2 linked regions of the Saccharomyces cerevisiae S288C genome follow. The gene in region 1 interacts genetically with each later gene. Each region holds a gene or a part of one and is shown on either strand. Other genes may lie near its edges. The genes, in order: PTP3 and RIE1.

What was found.
Region 2: mutations in PTP3 (region 1) and RIE1 together harm fitness more than expected from each alone (negative genetic interaction), as found in Saccharomyces cerevisiae (2 studies listed by BioGRID).

Annotation. Positions count from the first base shown.
Region 1 is NC_001137.3:308,407-319,529, reverse strand, and holds PTP3 (tyrosine protein phosphatase PTP3), read left to right. Parts: upstream 1-8,330; coding exon 8,331-11,117; downstream 11,118-11,123. Other genes in the region: YER079W (uncharacterized protein), read right to left, coding at 1-610; YER078W-A (uncharacterized protein), read right to left, coding at 720-884; ICP55 (aminopeptidase), read left to right, coding at 1,188-2,723; MRX1 (Mrx1p), read left to right, coding at 2,930-4,996; YER076C (uncharacterized protein), read left to right, coding at 6,032-6,940. UniProt on the Saccharomyces cerevisiae protein: Major phosphatase responsible for tyrosine dephosphorylation of MAP kinases FUS3 and HOG1 to inactivate their activity; it also has important roles, along with MSG5, in the inactivation of FUS3 following pheromone stimulation.
Region 2 is NC_001139.9:984,351-995,473, forward strand, and holds RIE1 (Rie1p), read right to left. Parts: upstream 9,172-11,123; coding exon 6,826-9,171; downstream 1-6,825. Other genes in the region: CPD1 (2',3'-cyclic-nucleotide 3'-phosphodiesterase), read left to right, coding at 616-1,335; 6-phosphogluconolactonase SOL4, read left to right, coding at 1,622-2,389; MGA1 (Mga1p), read left to right, coding at 3,699-5,069.

The sequences.
Region 1 (11,123 bases):
GCTTTGTAGTATTATCCATAGAGTTTAGGGAGGGGGAATGGTCGGAGAGTGGGTAATTTGCATTGTCTAATGGAGCAGAATCAGCGTTACTTTTCTGGAAATAAAACTGGTCCGATAACGAAGTAGTAGAATCAGAGGTGAGATTGGAGTTGGAAGTGGTGTTGAGTTTGTAAAACTTTTCGGTTTGATCATGCGATACCTTGTATTTGTCATCCTTGTCATTCTTCTTTTTTTTGTTCTTCTTTTTGTTCTTAGGGTCTACCATATTGCTAGTCTTCGGGGTAGGAGACTTTGTTCCATTATTGTGATCATATTGTTTTCGAACCATGGAATTCAATAAATTAAGTGAATATTTCGGAATCCCATCTCTTTTGACATTAATCCCCTGAATACCATCCTTCGTGGCAATCATGGAGGCACCTGATGTGATGGAGCAACCTGAGTTCGTTCTCGTTATCCTATCTTCACCAGAGGCAATATTGGAAGGGCTCATTGATCTCTGATCTAAGTCCAGGTTAGTAGACCTGTTATTAGTGTAAATGGACTGATCATAGAGAGAGATGGCAGATGCAACATCTTTTGAGCTTATTGAATGTGATGAATCAGGCATTATTAACTATTCGCTTCCTTTTCTTATCTCAGCAGTTTGTGTTTTTTATTCTTATTGTTATTATCCCTTTTAACTATATATGCATAAGCTAAGTTAAATATTAAAATATTTATATATAAACGTTACAGGGCGTGTGAACACATTTGAAAAAATGCTGGAAGGTAATGGTAGATATAAGAATTGGAATAACAGGTTGATAGAGAATCGCCAAGCTAGAGAGTTCTGACAAGCGGCAAGGGGGAAGGATGAGACGCAGATACGAAAGCCGCACCATTAAACCGTAAAGAGAGAAAAATAAAGAATGACTTATTTCTCGGAAAGGCCAAATGCAATTATGCAACACGCACACATTCACACTCACACTCACACATAAACTTTGACTGAAACCAAAACTGTTGTGAGTAATAGCCTTTCTTGTTCATAAAATAGTACAAGATACAGTAAATATATATCAACTCACCTGGTATAGGGATCACTTACTGCACTGCAAAAGTGGATCGTTTGCGCAAGAAACTCCACCAATTCTAAAGAATATAATAGAAAAAGCTAATAGGAAAAGTGGTCATTTTCTGTTGATATGTTACATAGGATAAACCCAGTACGGTTTTCTATGCAATCTTGCCAAAGATACTTCTCGAAGTTGGTATCGCCATTGGAACAGCATAAAAGTAATACTTTTACTAATAGAGTCAGAATCCCCATTGAGGCAGGCCAACCACTGCATGAGACAAGGCCGTTCCTTATAAAGTCGGGCGAGTTGACACCAGGCATTTCAGCCTTGGAATACTATGAAAGAAGAATTAGGTTGGCGGAAACATTGCCTCCCAAAAGTTGTGTGATTTTAGCTGGTAACGATATCCAATTTGCATCTGGAGCAGTATTTTATCCGTTCCAACAGGAAAATGACCTGTTTTATCTTAGTGGTTGGAATGAACCTAATTCGGTCATGATTTTAGAAAAGCCAACGGATAGTTTAAGTGATACAATTTTCCACATGCTGGTTCCGCCAAAGGATGCGTTTGCTGAAAAGTGGGAAGGATTTAGGTCTGGGGTTTATGGTGTTCAAGAAATTTTCAATGCCGATGAATCTGCTTCCATTAACGATTTGTCTAAATATTTGCCCAAAATAATTAACAGGAATGATTTCATCTATTTTGATATGCTATCAACTTCTAATCCCAGTTCGTCCAATTTTAAACACATCAAGAGCCTGTTAGATGGCAGTGGGAATAGCAATCGATCATTGAATTCCATTGCGAATAAGACCATCAAACCCATCAGTAAAAGAATTGCAGAGTTCCGTAAGATCAAGTCCCCTCAAGAGTTGAGAATTATGAGGAGAGCTGGCCAAATATCAGGAAGATCGTTCAATCAAGCCTTTGCTAAAAGATTTAGGAATGAGAGAACTTTAGATTCCTTTCTTCATTACAAGTTTATATCCGGTGGTTGCGATAAGGACGCATATATCCCCGTGGTCGCTACTGGTTCGAATTCTTTGTGTATCCATTACACAAGAAACGATGATGTGATGTTTGACGACGAAATGGTTCTTGTAGACGCTGCTGGCTCCTTGGGTGGTTATTGTGCTGATATTTCGAGAACGTGGCCCAATAGTGGGAAATTCACTGATGCACAAAGAGATCTCTACGAAGCTGTATTAAATGTTCAGCGTGATTGCATTAAGTTATGTAAAGCTAGCAATAACTATTCCCTCCACGACATCCATGAAAAGAGTATCACACTCATGAAACAGGAATTGAAAAACTTGGGCATAGATAAAGTCTCCGGTTGGAATGTTGAAAAATTGTATCCGCACTATATTGGACACAATTTAGGTCTAGATGTTCACGATGTGCCTAAAGTTTCCAGGTACGAACCATTAAAGGTTGGACAAGTTATTACTATTGAACCGGGTTTATATATTCCTAACGAGGAATCATTTCCATCTTACTTTAGAAACGTCGGAATAAGAATTGAAGATGACATAGCCATTGGTGAAGATACTTACACTAATTTAACTGTTGAAGCAGTGAAAGAAATTGACGATTTAGAAAATGTCATGCAAAATGGCTTATCTACAAAATTCGAGGAGGACCAAGTGGCACCACTGTAATGTTATTGCTAAATTGAGTACACCCTGTATATACAGATACATAACTTATCGATTTAAGGTCTTTTAATATTAAACGGAAAATTCAAAAAAAAAAAAATTTACTGAAAATATCTTGAGATACTTTTCTTCAGCTTTCTTTTTGTTTTTTTCCTCTTCTTCTTGGGCACTGCTCTTTAGTTTTTATTTTTAGTTACGGCAAAATAAAGATGGGTCTAAAAATTACAAAAGGACAGCTGAGAACCAAGGATCTGAATCAATCATCCTCAAAGTCATCGCAGTCTTCAAGAATAGGTGTAGACACTTGTATATTTACTAGAATGCTACCCCGAATAAACACTGCAATTAATCTCACAGAGCATCTGCTGAGAAGATCTTTTCATTCACTGACAAATCTACAGAAAACTCAAGTAAAAGAAAGACTACATGAGCTAGAACGTCACGGTTTCATATTAAATAAAACATCCAAACAATTGGAAAGGATAAATTCTAAGAAAAGAAGACAATTGAAAAAACTGCAAAAGACAGCATACCCCAAGGATCAAGCTTTTCATATTCTTCGAAAATTTCATAAAATAAATAATGAGGCATTAGCAGATACAAAACTGGGGCCAACTAGCCAAAGCGACTTGAAGTTCCTATCCTTAACCAAAGATAAGAGACTCTTTTATACCATACTAGGCGTCAATGGAGAACAGTTACGTGATTCCAAATTAATCGCCAATGATGTTCAAAAATTTTTGAAAAGAGGACAACTGGAAAAAGCTGTCTTTTTGGCTAGGCTAGCTAAAAAGAAAGGCGTCGTTGGGATGAATTTGATTATGAAATATTATATCGAAGTTGTGCAGTCCCAACAAAGTGCTGTAGATATCTTCAATTGGCGAAAAAAATGGGGAGTCCCTATTGATCAACATTCCATCACAATCCTCTTTAATGGGCTCTCAAAACAAGAAAATTTGGTCTCAAAAAAATACGGAGAACTTGTTTTGAAGACTATAGATAGTTTGTGTGACAAAAATGAGCTCACGGAAATAGAATATAATACCGCTTTGGCGGCACTGATAAATTGTACCGATGAAACACTAGTGTTCAAACTTCTTAATAAAAAGTGCCCAGGTTTGAAAAAGGATAGTATTACATATACCTTAATGATAAGATCTTGTACCAGGATTGCCGATGAGAAACGTTTTATGGTGGTACTCAATGATTTGATGAATAAAATACCAGACTATTGTGTCGATTCTAAATTGTTATTTGAGTACTGTGAAGTAATATGTAGCCAGAAGTCACCAAAGATTGAGAAGCAAGGAATGGGACTATGGGCCCTCTGTGAATATTTTCAATTTGATAAGACCATTTTCAAGAAGTATTTGACACAAAGCGATTTTCCTACGTTAGTTCCACTAAGTCATTGGAACATCAATAAGCCATTTCCTCTCAACAAACATGTTGTGGGATTGTTTATGAATTACTGTTTGAAAAACAAGGAATATGATCTTGCTATGGAAATATTTAAGACATTAGAGGCACAGAACAACCAAATGTTAGATCAGAGCATATACCACAAATACATGGAAACTGTCATAACAACGAGGCCCATCACTTGCGGCGACGAGTGTCTGGACATTTATGAACGGGTAGCCTCGTCGGCACAAATCTCAATAACCAGGAGGACGTTAATTTTGGTGTACAACGCATTCCAAAGACAAAGTCTCAAGGCCGTTATAAACAAAGATGCATCAAATGCTGAAGCTACTTTGCACAAGATTCGGGGGTTTATAGATAGCGTAGAGGCCACATACTCATCAAAGTTGAACGGCAAAGTTTACAGGTTTAATTCATGGAAGTTCCTGTTTCCTATCGTTAAAAATCTGAACATGAATGATAAAGTGTCTACAGTGGAACTGAAAAGTATACTAGATGAATACTTGAAATCTTTATTGAATGGTGAGTTCGGGAAGGAATTTAAAGCGAGCATAGAAGACAAGCGGTTTGTTACGTTGGAGGGAATTCGTTTAGTCAAGGTTTTAACCGAGAGAATCAAGCTTCCGTCACTGGACAGTGAGGAAATAGCCAGTTTAAAAGGCACGGAAAGAAAGAAGTTTCTTGCCAGAAGGCACCTTTTGAGGCTGAAGCAAATATTACTGGAAGATTTAGCGGACATTGAAGGCAACTCAAGAAGGAAGGGTGATAGCGAAAATACAAGTACCAGTGAAGAGCGCATCATGGAGGACTTGGCCGAGCTGATACTTGAAACCAGCTATGACAAGTTTTAAGTAAAAATTGATTATTTACTCCTTTCAATATGTACATAGTTTTGAGGTTTTTTCAAATTTTTTTCCTATTTTTTTTGTTAATTGAAAGTTACTGATGATAAATTATTCAAAGGTGGTGTTAATTAAGAATGAAAGTACATCTTCCTATACTATGAAGGAGAGGTTCATATAACACGCGCAATTGGCACGTCTTAAGTATCATCAGTACAATATAGTGGTATGTCAGGTAAATATAACATGTTCAGTGTAACAACTCATATTTTCCACGTATATATTGGATCTGTAACTCAATTGCGTCATTGTCTACATATTGCTTTTAACAGTTTCATTATTCTGTTACTGTTGCAATTATATATAAGCGTATAAGAGATGTGCCTAAGTATACGATGAGAACGCACATAATGTTATTATATCAACTCGCCTGTATATTTTTGTACTACTTGTTCCAACACGAAAATAAACCAAAGTAAGAAGGGTTAGCACCTTTTTTTGCAAGAGAAATCGCTCTTCAACTATTTTAAGTCAATCCTATGAAAAAGGGTTTGCGCCAGATTTCCAGGGACAAAAAAGAAAGTTTTATGTAAGACTAGATTGTGTTGATATCTCGAGCAAACTGTTAACCATTTTAAACCAATATAGTAATAAGTGTGAATAATCGTTCATCTCTAAACAATATGTAAATAATTCTAAAGAACAAAATATTTTGTCATTATCATCAACCTGTGAGCACTGAAAAAAAATTAATTCTAAAATGGTGCTCCATTTGCAAATATTCTTTCTATTTCCCTGACTCCCGCTAATCGGTTTTATTAGTGAAGAATACAGCCGTGGATTGAAAAACAAACTGGTTCAAGTCATTAACTGAAGTAATGCGACCACATCTTATACAAGAGGCAATGCTTTCTAACAGTTTTACATTATTCAAAATCTTCACATAGCCGTAACTTAACTTATATAATAACCGCATATTGGGCTCTTCTGAAAGAACTATTATAAGAAAGATACAAAAGCAAGCAATCAATCCAAGGGAGAAAAATGACCTCAGGATACTATACCGTCTCATTTTTTTATGCGATCTTATTGTTATGCGCATGCACACGTGCTGAGATCTACCTGACGGGCGGTGAAAGCCAGGGCTTGCCATCAGGATTCTGGCAAATGGACGATGATTTGGCAATCGCTCCAGTTTCTATGGTTGAATTTTACCAGACGATAGGATTAACTGCAAATGGTACTGTACCTGAGTCCTTCAACAAGCGTGATGCTACTGAATACCCTAACATTATCAGTAATATAACTACCCAAGCAGCCAACTTCACTCAGCATAGTCTCGTCGAGCAACTTCAAAATGACGTCACGGCAATAAGTATCAGTAATGCCATTAATGTAGCCGTCGATGGTTCTGTGGAAACACCAGCAGACCTGCAATACAACCGCAACCAGGAAACAGGTGAATCTACCCTCTGTAGAGCCAAGTTTTACGGAGTGGAGGTAAGAACTTGGTCTAGGTTGTACAATAGGGCCGTCTCTTCCACAACTCTTACGACTAATTTGAACAGCTACATAGCGCAATGGGTAGCATGGGCCGTTCACGGGAGCGGTGACAAGAAGTTTTGCGGCAGCCAGGAGTTCACGAATATCTTTTTTGATGGGCAAGAGGGTTGGAGTTTGTTTGTCAAGACGTGGTCAACAAACAGTAGCTGTGATATTACAGCCTCTGAAGGAAATTTAACATGTGCAGTTCGTGTTTCAGTATCCAGTATGCACAATCACGGCAAGACAGCGTTTTGTGTTACCTATAGCCACGGTGATTCTTGGCGTGCCGAGCTGAGAGTAGTTGCCAATGATGCTTGGTCCCATTATTATCCCTGGAGTATTGACTGTCCAGAAGTTGATAAAAATAATATGGCTATTAATGATTGTTTTGATCAGGCGCAAGGTTAACGATTGAGTTTCCCATAATTTTTACCGCTCTCCTCTTGGTTGAGACGTATGCGAAAAGCTAATTCGACGTTTTTTATTGTAAAATCGTACACTTTTGCAGGCAATTCTACATATTATATAAGATTTAAGTCGGATCTTGAGACTTTTGGTGAACTTTGAGATGATTGTTGGGATTCCGTTGTTGATAAAGGCAATAATATTATGTATACAGAATATACTAGAAGTTCTCCTCGAGGATATTAGAATCCTTACAATGGACTTGATATTTCTACATAAAAATATTACGATTATTCCTCATTCTGTTTTTTATGTTTCACCATCCAACAGATCTAAACTCATTTCTTCAGGTATTTATAACTTTGATTGGTTCATCTTAGGCATACTCAATCTTACCTTTTTCATGCGTGTAGGAACGAAACTCTAAAATCATCTACGGGTTAAAATTGCTTATACGGAGGTACCCCGTGTTGAGATCCAACACATACAGAAATTCTGGGCACATGGCGCAGTTGGTAGCGCGCTTCCCTTGCAAGGAAGAGGTCATCGGTTCGATTCCGGTTGCGTCCAATGAAATCTTTTTGTACCAAGTTTTTCTCTGTTTTTGTTAGACCGCAAGCGAGTTTACCGAATCACAGCCCACCTCACCCCACAGGAAAACAGCAGCAGAACGGCTGCTAAATGACTATTAACAATAAGAGGTTTTCGGCTACTTTCGCTGCTTGCTCGTTAAATCCGTTCACTGGTAGCGAACCTCAACGACAGATGTCTATGTATGCTATACGTAAAATCACCCCCATTATGGCCATTTTATGTGTCGCCACTGCTACACACCCACCGATGTGTATGTACTTCTAATATCTAACCAGACCAGACCCCACGCTTTTTCTGGCATCTCCTGCTGCCATCTTGGTGTAGTGAGCGGAAACTTTAAACATTAAACAGAATGGCGGCGACTTTGAGATTTGGGCCCGCTGACGCTGAACGAAAAGAAAAGACCTTCATGAAAAAAATATTTTGCGGCAAAACGTCATCGGAGAACACAGCGCAGCGAGAATGTGGTGTTAGCCAGACCCAACAGTTTGCGCACCTGGCATGGATGGATGCAGATAGGTAGTGTTCGATGCGCAAGAGTCCAATCTTCTCCTCGCCATTTGCACCGGCGGATGTAACACTATATTTTCATTGACCTTAGCGGTTTTCTTTCTTTGACATGTAACATCATCACTTCAAGCACAAACAAAGAACTGTATACACAGACCACAAACTTGCATATTATTCTAACATCGGTGTTATAATAGCGTAGGTGCTCTTATCACTGCAAAGTTCATAGAAAATCCGTATTGTATCTCCCTTCTCCATCAGCAACACAGATCTACTTATCATATAGAACATGAAGGACAGTGTAGACTGCCCAAGCATTCTACCCACCGACCGCACTTCAGTGCTTTCCGAGACTAGCACTTTGGTCGGATCGAGTTCGCATGTATATTCGAGGCATGCTCCTATGAACAGTTATCATAACAGCATGAACAGCAACATATACCACAGCCCCAAAGCCAGTAGCCCTTTGGTGAGCTATAAGACATCTTCGCCGGTGTTATTGAAGAGGGCGACCGCTCCTGTCCTGCCAAGCTTCAAGCCCAAGGAACAGCGATATAATAAGCCGCAGGGTTGTTCGCTAATTACTGCTGTAGAACTGGGCAAGATTATTGAAACCTTACCAGATGAAAAGGTGCTCTTACTTGATGTTAGGCCGTTTACCGAACATGCCAAATCCATTATCACAAACTCCATTCATGTATGTTTGCCTTCCACGCTGCTGAGGAGGAAAAATTTCACCTTTTCCAAACTCTTGGACAACTTAACTCCTAGCGAGCAAAGCGTGTTGAAATCTAAACTGGCCATCGATAACCTTCGGATTATCATTTATGATAGCACCGCAAATCAAACGGAAAGTTCTGTTTCTTTACCTTGTTATGGAATAGCGTCCAAGCTAATAGAGTTTGATACTAATGTTAAAAAAACCGTGTCTATACTAATGTGTGGTTTTCCTCAATTCAAAATTCTATTTCCAGACCATATAAACACCAACACATTTAACTCAGATTGCATTAGTTCGGCTGAACCTAAAAGCCCCAAGACAAACCTTATGAACAGTCTACACAACACAGCGCCGCATATGACGGCGACAACACCACTATCGTCTCCGCAAATGAACCTTAAGTTGAAAGTTCCTGACGATAGTAGGTCAGATCATTCAAACTTTTCCAGTTCTCCCTCTCCGCGTAACGTCCTATCAGATTCTCCCATGTCTTCTTCTTCCCCCATATCTGCCTTATTTAAGTTCCAGCTGCCTGCACCACAAACAAACATAAACCAAATGTTCAAATTTTCGCAAAATGAAGAAATAATGGGTTTAGAGACGTATTTGAGTGCAGTCAACATCAAAGAAGAACATGAAAGATGGTATAATAACGATTCTGCCAAAAAATCTTTACAAAACTTCCAATTCCCAAAGAACCAAAATTCTCTAGAAAAGGACACTAATAAAGACAAACTAGGGTTTCAGATCAGATACGAAAACCTGAGCAAAAATTACGAAAAGGAGGTCATTGACTCCGTTATACCTGAATGGTTCCAGCATCTGATGTCAATACCCAAGATCGAGTTGGTTTCTCAGTTTCAAAAATTAGATTTTTTGGAAAAAAGGCGCTTGAACCATTCTGTCTCTTTCAGGAAGAAGGAAAACTCGTTTATACTTGAAAAGCCATCATCATATCCTGAACAGTTAACATCAACTTCTTCTTCAACAATCATGCCTCCAAAATTTCCTGACGTGAACAAAGTACAAAAGAGGTCGCATTCTCAGCCAATCTTCACTCAATACAGTAAATATAAATCGATGCTCAGCCTTGAATCAGATTCCGATTCGGAGTCAGATGACGTTATAATATCATCAGGCGTTGAATTAGGAGCCAAGAACAGGTACAAGGATATTTTTCCCTACGAGCATTCGAGAGTGATTCTAAAAAAAGGTTTGCAATCATCAAAAGGTATCAAGCATTCACATTCTACTTCCGATGGTGGCATCCTCGACAATTATATCAACGCAAACTATTTGTCTCTGCCAAGGTTTTCTGTAGAGCAAAATTCGTCATTTCAAACAACTACAACCACAACAAGAAGAGTGCGCTATATAGCGACGCAAGCTCCAATGCCCTCCACTGTACATGACTTTTATACATGCATATTGAATAATGGCGTTCCGTTGGTTCTCTCATTGACAAATGATTTCGAAAATGGCATTGAGAAATGTTATCGATATTGGCAAGAAGGTAATTATAACGGTATTCACGTTAAATTGTTAGAAAAAAAAATATTAAAGATGCCTAGCACTACTAGCATGAGGAAAAATACTATGGGAACACAAAATAGTAGTTTATATTCAGCTGGTGTTCAGGGAAATAGTAGTAACTATAGTACTGATAATGATAATGATAATGACAACAATAATAATAACAATAACAATAGTAATATTGCTGTTACTGCTGCTGCTTGTGATGATGATGATGATGATGATGATGACGCAATTCTCATAAGAAAAATTCTGCTAACATATCATGATCAAGAGAAACCTTATGAATTGTTACAGATTCAGGTGAAAAATTGGCCTGATTTGGGCACTTTACTCAATCCTATCTCAATCTTACAAGCAATCAATGTCAAGAATCACATAATAGATACACTATTTGCCAGAAATTACTATCAAAACGACCAACTTCCTACCATTTTGGTTCATTGTTCCGCAGGTTGTGGAAGGACTGGTACTTTGTGTACCATTGATTCCATTCTATCCAATTTCGAAATGTTTGAAATGTTGCAGAAAGAGTTTGTTAAATTAAAATACCCGGCAAAGTTATTCGATCCAATTTCATGGACAATTAATATTTTTAGAAAGCAACGAATATCCATGGTCCAGAACATTAATCAATTTATTTTCATTTATGACTGCTTGCTATTTTACTTTAGATTACGTCTTGATGACATAACAGAGAGAACGGATGGTGATGGAAGTAACAAGGACAATATATCATTAAGTGCATTAATTGAACAAATCGAAAAATTAGAGATCTTGCAGACATTCGTGGATGATAAGTTGAAAGAATTGCCACAATAGTTAGGC
Region 2 (11,123 bases), on another chromosome or scaffold:
TTTTTATCATACCTGATACTTCGCGAAAACCTTAGAATAGCAAATAAGGCCATCGCAACATTAATAGACAAAAATTAGAGTCACTTCACTTCGTTGATTTTTGATAGCGACGGCCGTGACCATTGCAAGATTTCTAATGAGGGGAAGAACAACTTTTCTTGTAGATTACCTCCACTTTAATCGGATGTCTTTTTTTACGTCCAAGAGTATTCAATGTCATCAAGATAGAAGCAAATTTTTCTAACACTAAATGTTATATTGCATCTGTATCAGTATATATGTGTATGTGGGAAGCCATAGTTCACTACTTCACAACTTTAAAAACAATCTATTTTCCTTTGTTCACTAAGTGATTTTGTAGGCGTGATCAAGTGCTTACCGGGGGGTTTTTATTTTTTTTAGGTTAGATCCGATGGAGAAGCGATGCAGGTGAAGTTTAATAAGAACCCAATTCGTAAGCAGGGGCACAAACAATCAAGAAGTTATCAAAGTCACTTTTGAGATACCAAGAATCTAATCAGATTATTTTATCATTTTATTTTACCATCAATTGTAATTATTCTAGTTTGGGAATTCGCGATACTTCAATTTGCTAATATCAGTAACCACAGAAAAATGGCAATAGCATTATGGTATTGTCCACCACAAGGATCAGTTGCTTACGAGACATTACAGATGCTTATATTTTCGTTTCAAACGTTGTTCCCAGATTCACCAGTTTTTGAACCTCATGTGACGGTAACGTCCCATTTGGTGTGCAATAGTAAAGATGATGTCAACAAAATCTTGACCTCCTGTGTTGCTGCCATCCAATCGATAAGGTCACACCAAACAGCAAAGAAAGGACGTAAGGGACAGGTATCCCATGCTGTTGCAGCTCCTTTGGTATCTTTCAATGGATGCAGTGTAGGTAAACAATATTTCAAGAAAATTGTGCTCGAGTGTAACAAGAACAAAATACTTTATGGGGTCGCACAAGTCATGAGAGAGATGTACGTAGAGATCGATCCTGAGACGCGAAGTAGCCGTGCCGCCACTTGGGTGCACGAGGAATTCCATCCTCACGTCTCATTGCTTTATTCGGATATTCATCCGGTAAGTCAGGCGTCATTGCGAGTAGTTCAACAAAGAATTGAAGATGCTCTAGACGTGCAACTAGTTCCAAGAGAGAAACGTAAGGGTTCCGGAAACGCTGATGGGTCCAATGAAGTGCAAATGAGATGGGATTTTGACGTATCTTCATCGCTATCTTGGAATATCCCAGGAACGTTTAAAGTGGTCAACTGTGTGGGGCCCGTTCAAGAATGGGAGGTATTGGGACGGGTGGACGTTTAAGCATACATTTATGTGCACTGTAAGTAATTATATAGAATTTTTTTTTTTTTTTTTTTTTTCATATCTGTCAATACTTGAAAATGTTCTAGTTAGAGATTTACGTATACTGATCGCTTGCCTTCGCAAGGGATGGAAATCCCTTGAAAATTAAAAAAATCCCCCCCTAAGCAGCGAAAATTGTAAGATCCATAATATTTAAGAAATGACGAAGAACGTAGTCTTATCGCAGCAGTTTTCCAAACAAAGAATGCCATTCATCAAATAATCCACAACCACCTCAAGAAAAATGGTGAAATTACAAAGGTTTAGCGAAAAGAAAAGCCTCATACACGAATTCGGCAAGTTTATCCTTGAAAAGCAAGAATCGGCGTTAACGGGCGACGCTGATGCAGTGTTCAATATCGCCATCAGTGGAGGATCGATGAACCAAGCGCTGTACGAAAGTTTGGTAAATGACAAAAACATTTTTCCACATATTAAGTGGCCACAATGGAGAATCTTCTTCTGTGACGAAAGATTGGTTCCATTTGAGGATCCGCAAAGTAACTATGGTCAGTTCAAAAAAACAGTTTTGGACCCGCTAGTGCATCAGGGCAACCAATTGAACTTAGGCCCCACTGTATACACTATCAACGAATCATTAATCGGTGGCGGTGAAACGGCCAATAGAAAGATTGCCGAAGAATACGCTTCCATGCTGCCTGCATCATTCGACCTAATCTTACTCGGATGCGGAGAAGATGGACATACATGCTCGTTGTTTCCCGGGGTTGAATTTAATTACCTTGTAGAAGAGATGGACCGCAAGGTTTTATGGTGTAATAATTCGCCCAAGGCACCCAAGGACAGGATCACCTTTACATTAGCAGTAGTAGCCGAGGCTAAAAGTGTGTGCTTTCTCGTTAGGGGAGCTGCTAAAAAGGCTATCATGCATGACGTGTTAATCGTAAAAAATAGCGAACTACCTAGTGTGCTGGTTAATGAAATGGTCGGAACCAAAGTAACTTGGTTTCTCGACGACGAAGCTGGCGCCTTGATTCCTGAAAACTGCTAATTACACTCGTCTTTATACGAAACTGGCTCCGTTAATCACGACAGACAACCTTAATTACATTACATAATAATAAATAAATGACAACTGTCTTCTTTACAGCGTATGTTGGAGCTTACTCCCGAAGCATAAACCCAGTTCTTCTAGAAGAATTGACAGCAGAAAGGAAAGGGGTACCGAAGGCAAACTCAACCTTAAAAGTTCCGTAAGCAACCGAGCCTCCGCGAAGGTTGCATAACTTAAAAGAAAAACATAGCTCACCCGGTGATACCGTTACAACGCGTTAATCTTAATGCTATGACTCGGAACCACCTGCAAAACAGCGCTAACGGAAATTTCCATGGAAATAGAATAAGGGACGCAGCAGGGTTTTTTTTTTTGGCGAGCACACGAAATATAAAATTGCTTCGGGCCAGCTGCATGGAAGGGTTAATTTCGCCCCTTTATCGCAAGCTACGCAGTTCTCCTGGCTCGAGAATGAATCTGGCCCGCCGCAGACGTTTCCTGGCCCCAGATTAGGAAGCAGCGGCGGCGGAACGGAAGGTGCTCTAAGCAAAATAAGGAATATTAGCCACGCCGGTAATTCCCCTCCTTTGGTCTGCCCCTGGTCTGCCCCTTTCGTTTTTTATTTTTTTTTGGGTGAACGGAATACTCCGTGGGCGGCACAAGGAGAGCCTGCGTAGGAATCTGTGCGTCTCAGTCGGGCGGGCCGATTTAGCACCGATGGTTCGCTTTGGCTTGGGCTTACGGTGACTGCGAGATTTGCAGATTAGTGCATATCCGCGCCTTTGTATGACGTGAAGCGATCCGCCCTGAACAACTTGTTACGTATATGATGTTGACTCTGCGCCCCCGTCTCTCTGGTTGCTGCCTTCTGCGCTGATTTGGTGCAATCTTTCTTTTTTGTCTTTGAAAGATTTAAGCTTTTTTTCGAGAAGAAAAAGGAGGAACCGAAAAAATAATCTTTCAGTTGTTGACCCGTAGAGCAGAAAATGGAAGGCAGTAGATATCCATATCGAAGGAAAAGCACAAACTTATCACGTTTAGGGTATTCATTAACGTTGAAGTAATCAGGTAGTGAATAGCTCGAAGTTTTCCATGCTTTCCTTTCGGTTGCATCTTTCTTCCTTTGGGGTTTTATCTTGATACGTCGTTACTTACCTTTTTTTCCAATATATATATATTGGTAGTAGCTGATCATTGCAGAAGATCTAGATCTCCTTTACACGCTTTAAGGTTAGGCAGCTGTAACCCCTATATTGAATTTTCACCCACGCCATAAAATACAATAGCTCAGAGAACCGGTGGCCACATGCAACCTAAAACTTTCGTCCACCAACTTCATGCAATTCTTCTGGAACCGGAAGTAAATAAATGGATATACTGGTCTCCGACTGATAACACGGTATTTTTTTTGAAGCCATATGACCCTAATTTTAGTACACATGTTCTGAAGCGTTATTTCAAACATGGAAATGTCAATAGTTTTGTTCGTCAACTACACATGTACGGGTTTCATAAACTATCTCATCCTTCCCCAGACCAATCTTCTGCCAACAATGGTAACGTTAAAGAACTTGTTGAATGGAAATTTACCCACCCATCTGGATTCTTCTTCAAAGAGGCCAACGCCGGTATCTTGAATAAAATCCAAAGAAAGAGCACTGGTGTGGGAAAAGATGGTAAAAGAAAGAATATACTGTCACCAATATCTGTCAGTTACGTTGATGCTTCGAGGTTAAATGTTCTCTCTCAGCAATCCGGACCAGTTTCTGCAAGAGAACCATCAAACATGTTTATGGGCAGTCCCGTCCATTACTCAACATCCCAAAGTCCTCCACATATCAGTATACCGCAACAGCAACAAAGTAGTGGACCTTACCTAATATCTTCACTGCCCCCTCAACAACCCACGGTGAACATGATGCGAAGGCAAAGCATCTCGGCGAGGATGATGAATTCTTATGACTATCCCAATCAATTTTCCACCCAAGATAGCATAGTCCAGCCTCAGCAGCCGCAACAAGTACTTTCTCCACAAGCATTATCTGGACCTCCGATGAAGAAATCAGGAACACTATCTTCGACAGATGATCTGAAAACAACTTCCTTGCCAATTGTTAATTACCCAATGCCGTATCATCCTGGAGCTTTTGCCCAGCAGCAGCAGCAGCAGCAGCAACCGCTCCCTACAGTCCCGCCATATAGCAGTTACTCCACTCCATTTCCCTCAATGATGAACTCTCTTTCGAACTCTGCTTCTAACTCACCTGCTTTAGGAGTTTGTAATAATAATGTAACACTACCCAAAAAAAGCAATATAAGTGAAAGGCAAGCTTTGGATAACCATATACAAACTTTAAAGAACTCTCTATCAACAATCACTGATTTGATAGAAAAACATATTAACAGCGCATCGCAAGATGAAAATAAAACTCTAACTAATGATGCCATGAACAAAGACCTTCGAACAAGCTTATCCCTATTACAGAATTCCAAGGAGGAAATCATTCAACTTGAAAGTAAATGGATGTCTATGCAATCTGTTAAAACAACTGCCCTACCCCTTCAAGAGACTACGAATACATCATCGACCTTAACTTCTCTGACGTCCAGCATAATTCCCAAGAGTATACCTATAATCACGAAAGGTGAAGTCGCCACTAAACCAGCATCTTACTGAATTATTTTCAACAGAACACATCGCATCCAACTGAACAAACTGTTACCGCTGTTGATACCAAGGAACATTCAGTGAACGTAGGGAAGAACGAACATTCTCCATATTTTTGCATACTAGATACAAGGGGGAAGAATGCAATTATTTCACAAACCGAAAGAAAAAGAATCACAAGCTATGTTTGCTATTATCAATTTTTCTTATGATTAATTTAACATAAATTATGGCCTTTTTCATTCCGGCTGCGCTTGTTCTCCAATTTTTTTTTTTTTTTTGAGAAAACTTTAAAAATTTCAAATGTAAGAAAGTAGAGCAGATCTTTTAGCAAGGATCCGCTTAACATTCCAACAAAAAAGGAAAAATAAAACAATAATTTCGTTCCCCATCTATCCTTCGCCTCTCCTTCGCTCTGTAATTTTTTTTACTCGCGCGCTTCCGACTTTTGAAAGAAGGAGCAATAAAGTTAAATAAATGTAATTAAATTATGCTTTTTTAGGCAAGTTCGGGACTTTGTTGCCACGTATTGCTCTTCTATGCAAGCACTTCACTCCTTTTCTTTCATCTCTGTTTTCTTCCACTGGCTGGAAGCTTGAGGGTTGCCTCTTGATTCTTTATCGCCTGCAACCATTGCCTTGTTCCGTCCTCTCAAGGCGTTCCTTCCGTGCTTTTTAAATACTAGAATCATTCGAGACGTATTTATGAGCATGTTACTTCTTGATGTTTATCTAAGAGGGTTGTTTAGGTTATCCGCATTATTTTTAAAGTTTTAAGGTTACATCATTTATTCAGACGCGTTCGGAGGAGAGTGCATTCACCAAGATGTAAATTTCTTCAGTTTTCCGGATTAGGATTGGAAAAATGAAGAAAAATAGCTGCAGAAGAGCCGAAAATAGGTCAGAAAAAAAAAAAGACAGGCAAAATAGGTGTAAGCGTTAAATGCCTATTGCCTGCTGTACTAGCTAGCTAAAGTAATTGTAGCAGTTGTTATTAAGGAGTTCTTTAAATCATATTGCTTGCTTGTATCAGACCATTGGAAACTTCAATGTTTAAACTCTAGAAAGGTTGATCTGCTCAAATATTTTCATATTTACGGCATGTCCTAACTTGAACATTTGTAGAAGAGAGACATATTTCTTAGTGTAGGCAAGATATTTGAATGACATTGTCTGCCGAAATATACTCGACTTGCAGTGGAACTGCAAGTCGAAAAGGATATCGCTTTAGCCAAACAAAAATTTGTTGTGCTATTCAGTGAGCATGCATTGGCTATAGAGGCCGCACCTAAATTGTATCTTTTGATTTATGTAACTGCCACACTTTCTCTAGCACAGTCATGATACGGCTTTTTTTCATTTAGCCACCAAATACTGTAAATATCGTTTTAGAACGTTATGAAAAAATGCTCATCCACTTAAAAACCTCTCCGTATTCTGAAAGTTGGTATAATCTTGCACTTTAAGTGTATATCTTTTTATGCAATCTTTTTGAATAATGAGTGTTTTTCAAAATTTTGACATTCATGTGAATTGTTTATCTATCCTTTGCATAGTAAAAAAATAGATGCAGAATTTACTCACCTCAAGGAGGGGCAAAGTAATAAGAAAAGTTACCATAGGCTAGTTGAATGTCCAAGATCGTAAAGAATGAAGAAAAAAGGAGTAAAAAGTATGAATAAGATAAATGAAAATATAAAAATAAAAACCAACTAATACATGAAGAAAAAAAAGCAGACAAAAACATTTTATGGACCTGATGCAATCTAGTAGTCCATAGAATAATCACCACTAGAAAATTCTTCCTCTTCATTACTACCGTTTGCCATTATAGGAATATGATTTGCTGCAGGATTCTGCGGAGGTATTATATAGGGCACTGGCGGCACCTGTGGAATAAACCCAAATGATGGGAACATTGGCATCATCCAGTTAGCGTTATTTTGGTTTGCACTTATTAAGTTGTAACTGTTCACGGGCTTTGTGTTGGTATTAGGGTACTGCAGTGGTATGAAATAATTTTCCCTCGAGACTTGCTGTTGCGATTGGTTCTGAGTCATCAAGGCATTGATAAATTTCTTATTATACTTTGTTGGATAAGCCTTATGATAATCATTATGTGGCTGAAAATTTTGGAACTTTGATGAGTTATCAGTTTGGGATTGATCATCATCATCACTTGAAGATAAATTACCACGTTTCTGAGCGAAAGAAACAGATAACACTTGATCTTTGCTCACTTGATACCCGTCTGTATTCAAAATTGCCTTAGCAGCATCTAATGGGCTTTCAAAAGAAACAAAACCATAACCTCTTGATGATCCCACTGGCAGATCATTATCTGATGAGCTATCATTCGATTGTTGACGATACTTGTTCTTACTACCCCCAACAGTAATGACCTTAACGCTGATTATTTCACCGAAAGATTTGTAGAAATCATATAAATCTTCATCTGTCCAAGAAAGAGGGATGTGCTTGACATATAGGTTTGATTCTTGCTGATTACTCATTGGTATAGGTAAGCTGTAAGAAGTTGATGGGTACTGGTACATGTCAAACTTGTTGCCCATGAATCTAGGCACACGTTGACCACGACCTTCACTGAAAGATTCCCTTTGAGGATAGAACAGATCCATTTTCTCTGCCACAGGGGTTGATCTTACAGAATCAAAATACCGTACATTGGAGGTATCGTTGCTGTTCCCGTTTTTATTATTGTTGAAGTAATATCTATCATATGTATAATTATTGTAATCATACATTGGGTTATTTGCAAATTCCAAAACCTCCATATCATTGTGGTTACTGATGGAAGGGTGCCTGTCATGGCTATTGTGGTTGTTGTAAACTTTATGTTGAACCGCCTTATTAACAACGAGCCTGTTTCCATGCCACATGAACCCATTGAAGGTCTCGATGGCTGCTAGTGCTTGTTCATGGTTGATAAGCTTGATGAAACCATAACCCTTCAACATATCTTCATCTTGGGCATTTCCATTAGTATTATTGGAAGATTTGTTTGATTCTACTGACCCCTCCTCATTGAAACTTACTGAACTACTGCTTCTTGTATTACTTCTCTTCGGAAAGTAATATGAAATGATATCAAAGTCCGGAAACTTTTTTGATAACTCCTTCTTGATTACTTCTATGACTTCTTTAGGTGTAATCAAAGTCTCTACTTTTTCAGGATTGTGATAAGGCAAGTTGCCTATAAAGAGACACCTGAAATTATCATCATTGTTGTTTTCTTTGACATGGTCCCAATGGATTCTTTCTCTCTCCTTTCGCTCAACGTGATAGTTGATAAATAGTGTGGAGCCATTTACCGTCCTTCCATTAAGTTCCTTGATGCAAAGTGAAGCTTGAGAACCCAAGGGGTAGGAGATGAACCCGTATCCGTTAGGTTCGCCTTTCGTTTTATCATATATCAATTTCATTGATAAAATTGGTCCATATTTTGAAAATAAGAAACTTAGTTCACCAATAGAAAGGCTCTTTGCTATTCCCCCGACAAAAATATTTCCAGGATAGGTTAGTGCATGCTTGTTCACACCGATAGACCATTTATCAATATGCTGACCAATAGGTTCGCTCTTGAGTAATTCCGAGATATCTGTACATGCATTTTCTAATGACTTGGGGTACTTGAATTGTGCTTGCAAAACGGTATCGTATCTCCAATCATCTTCCTCTTCGTTATCTTTGTAAGATTTCTCATACTCTTGACTTCCATGCTCGTAAAGATAGATGTCTTTATTTTGTTCGAGAACCTGTAACCTCCTTGTATCCGGAAGAAATTCATATGTTTCTGTATCAGAGTTGTTAACGGAGATACCTTTGTAGTGCTGTATTGTGTCCATTATTTGATCGGTTATTCTAGAGTTGCAGTGATCATCTTCTTCTTCTTGTAACTGCCATTTTATTCTTATGGTTAATAAATTTGTGTTGGCCAATTGTTCCAGTTGAAGACCAGTGGAAGTTTTCCTTTCAATTTTTATTGATTGGTCTCCAGCTTCTGCGCTCGCTGATGTCTGCTGGCTGCAGATATCTGTATCCTCGGGGCCACTAGATATTACTTCATCTGATGGTTCTTCTGCAATATTCATCCTCGAAACTTCTGATGCGGTTTGTCTTTCACGTATAATGTTTTTAGTAAAATAAAACTTATGGTTTATTTTTGGATTTTTAATCAGGGTGCCTTGTAATTTGGGATGTGTGCTATGCTTTACTTGTTCACACTTTTTTTGAGACCGTTGAACGAACTAAAATTAAGAACACTCTAATCCTTCGAACAAAAGGCACTTTTCAACTATTATTTACTTATTCAATATTTAAGGGAAGTTTCTTTATTGTGCTTGACATATATATATGTATTTATTTATATAGCGCAGTGGCCAAGAAAATGTTAACGTGAAATAACGACTAACGGGCAGGCGTTATGCACGGAAAGAGATCTACTAAATTCCGCCCAATAGGGAATCTCCGACTGAATTTTTTTGCCCTTTGGTCAACTATTCCCGGGAAGGGCATAAATTGAATCAAGCGCCAATTTTACGTCTTCGGCTAGTAATCGGATCAGCGGGAGAAACATCGTACGTACACAAGAGAATACCGAGAGTGTCGATTAATCAACCACGCTCCATGAGGCTTATCCGCATTCTACTTGCATGTTAGCCGGGAAAAGACATAAATCATCTCAATTCTCTAGAATACTCTAGAGATTATGTAAAAGCGTAGCCCCGTAGATGATTAAATAATTTTCGGTTTCTTACCCCGTAACCACGAGTTGCGGTGTTTTTGCTTCTATCGGGGCAATAAGCGGGCGCTGCTTCTCGGGAATGTAAAAACTGTGCTTCCTACCATGAAGTAGTTGGATCTTGAAATGGGTTGGGCCGGAACAATATGCAAGTACTACAATCCTTGTATTCCCATATGATTATATTCCCCTTTGCATAGGCTAGTGTTTTTTTTTTCGTTCTTTTGTTTCTTCCGCTAGGAATAGTAGTGGCGATCTGCAGAAAGACGCTCTAAGGAAAAAGAGAGAATTTCGATCAGTCCCGTACACATTACTCTTGGGAAGTTCAATTCCTTCGGACGTAATCCACATACGAACTTGGCTCTCATCTGTTGTCTTCAAGCTGTTGCGGCCCTCCTCTTTCTCTCTGTTGTACACATTTTTTGACTTTCAAAAATATGCCGCTAAGGAAACATAACCCTTGTGTATGTGAGCTTGTAGCATATGATATAGTGCTCATTGGCATGTGACAAGAATTGCGTATGTAATTGAAGTTTGTAGTGTAATTTACGAAAATAGCCGCCCTTCTTCTTCATTAACGATTATTGAGCGTAATGATATAAGATACAACGGTTTATTTAGGGCTGCATCCATGAAAATACTTTGTAATAGTGAGTCGTCGCCTTGTTTGTTTATTCAATACAATGCAGTGTCTCTATAGTCTCCTCCTTTAGTTTCACTATCTTTTCTAACCGCCGAAGATATACGAGTGTTCTGAACGAAAAACGACCTTTTCAAACATAGAATATAATTGTATATATACATATACATATATGATACGCAGCCACATTCGTAGTATCTTTAAGACACTGCCTTTCAAAAAAGCTTTGGTATTTTGAAAGAAGATCGAAGCCAAGGAACCAGGACTACAATGAATTAGACGCTACAAAGTTTCTTAATTGGAAAACAAGGAGGGACAAGGAGGAGACTTTTACAGTAAACCAGAATGCTCCTTCACTGTTCAGTTATGTAATGTTATTGTTTGGAAGATCTGAAGAGAGGCATTTCCTACAACCTCTTGAATAAAATAGTGGAAGGCATTTACACAAAGAAGCCGTGCCACTTTGGTCCGGATTTTTTTTACCTAAAATCGTCTTAAATTGGCCTGTTCGATAGCTGTCATTTGTTTTAGATATTTATTTCCTAACGTCAGCTTTAGTTACAGTATGTATGTATCAACCTTTTAGTAAGACAATAATGATTGCATGTTTGATCCTGCTTTAAAGGCATTGGAAGTAACCGTAGTGGCCGCTGTTTCTTCTT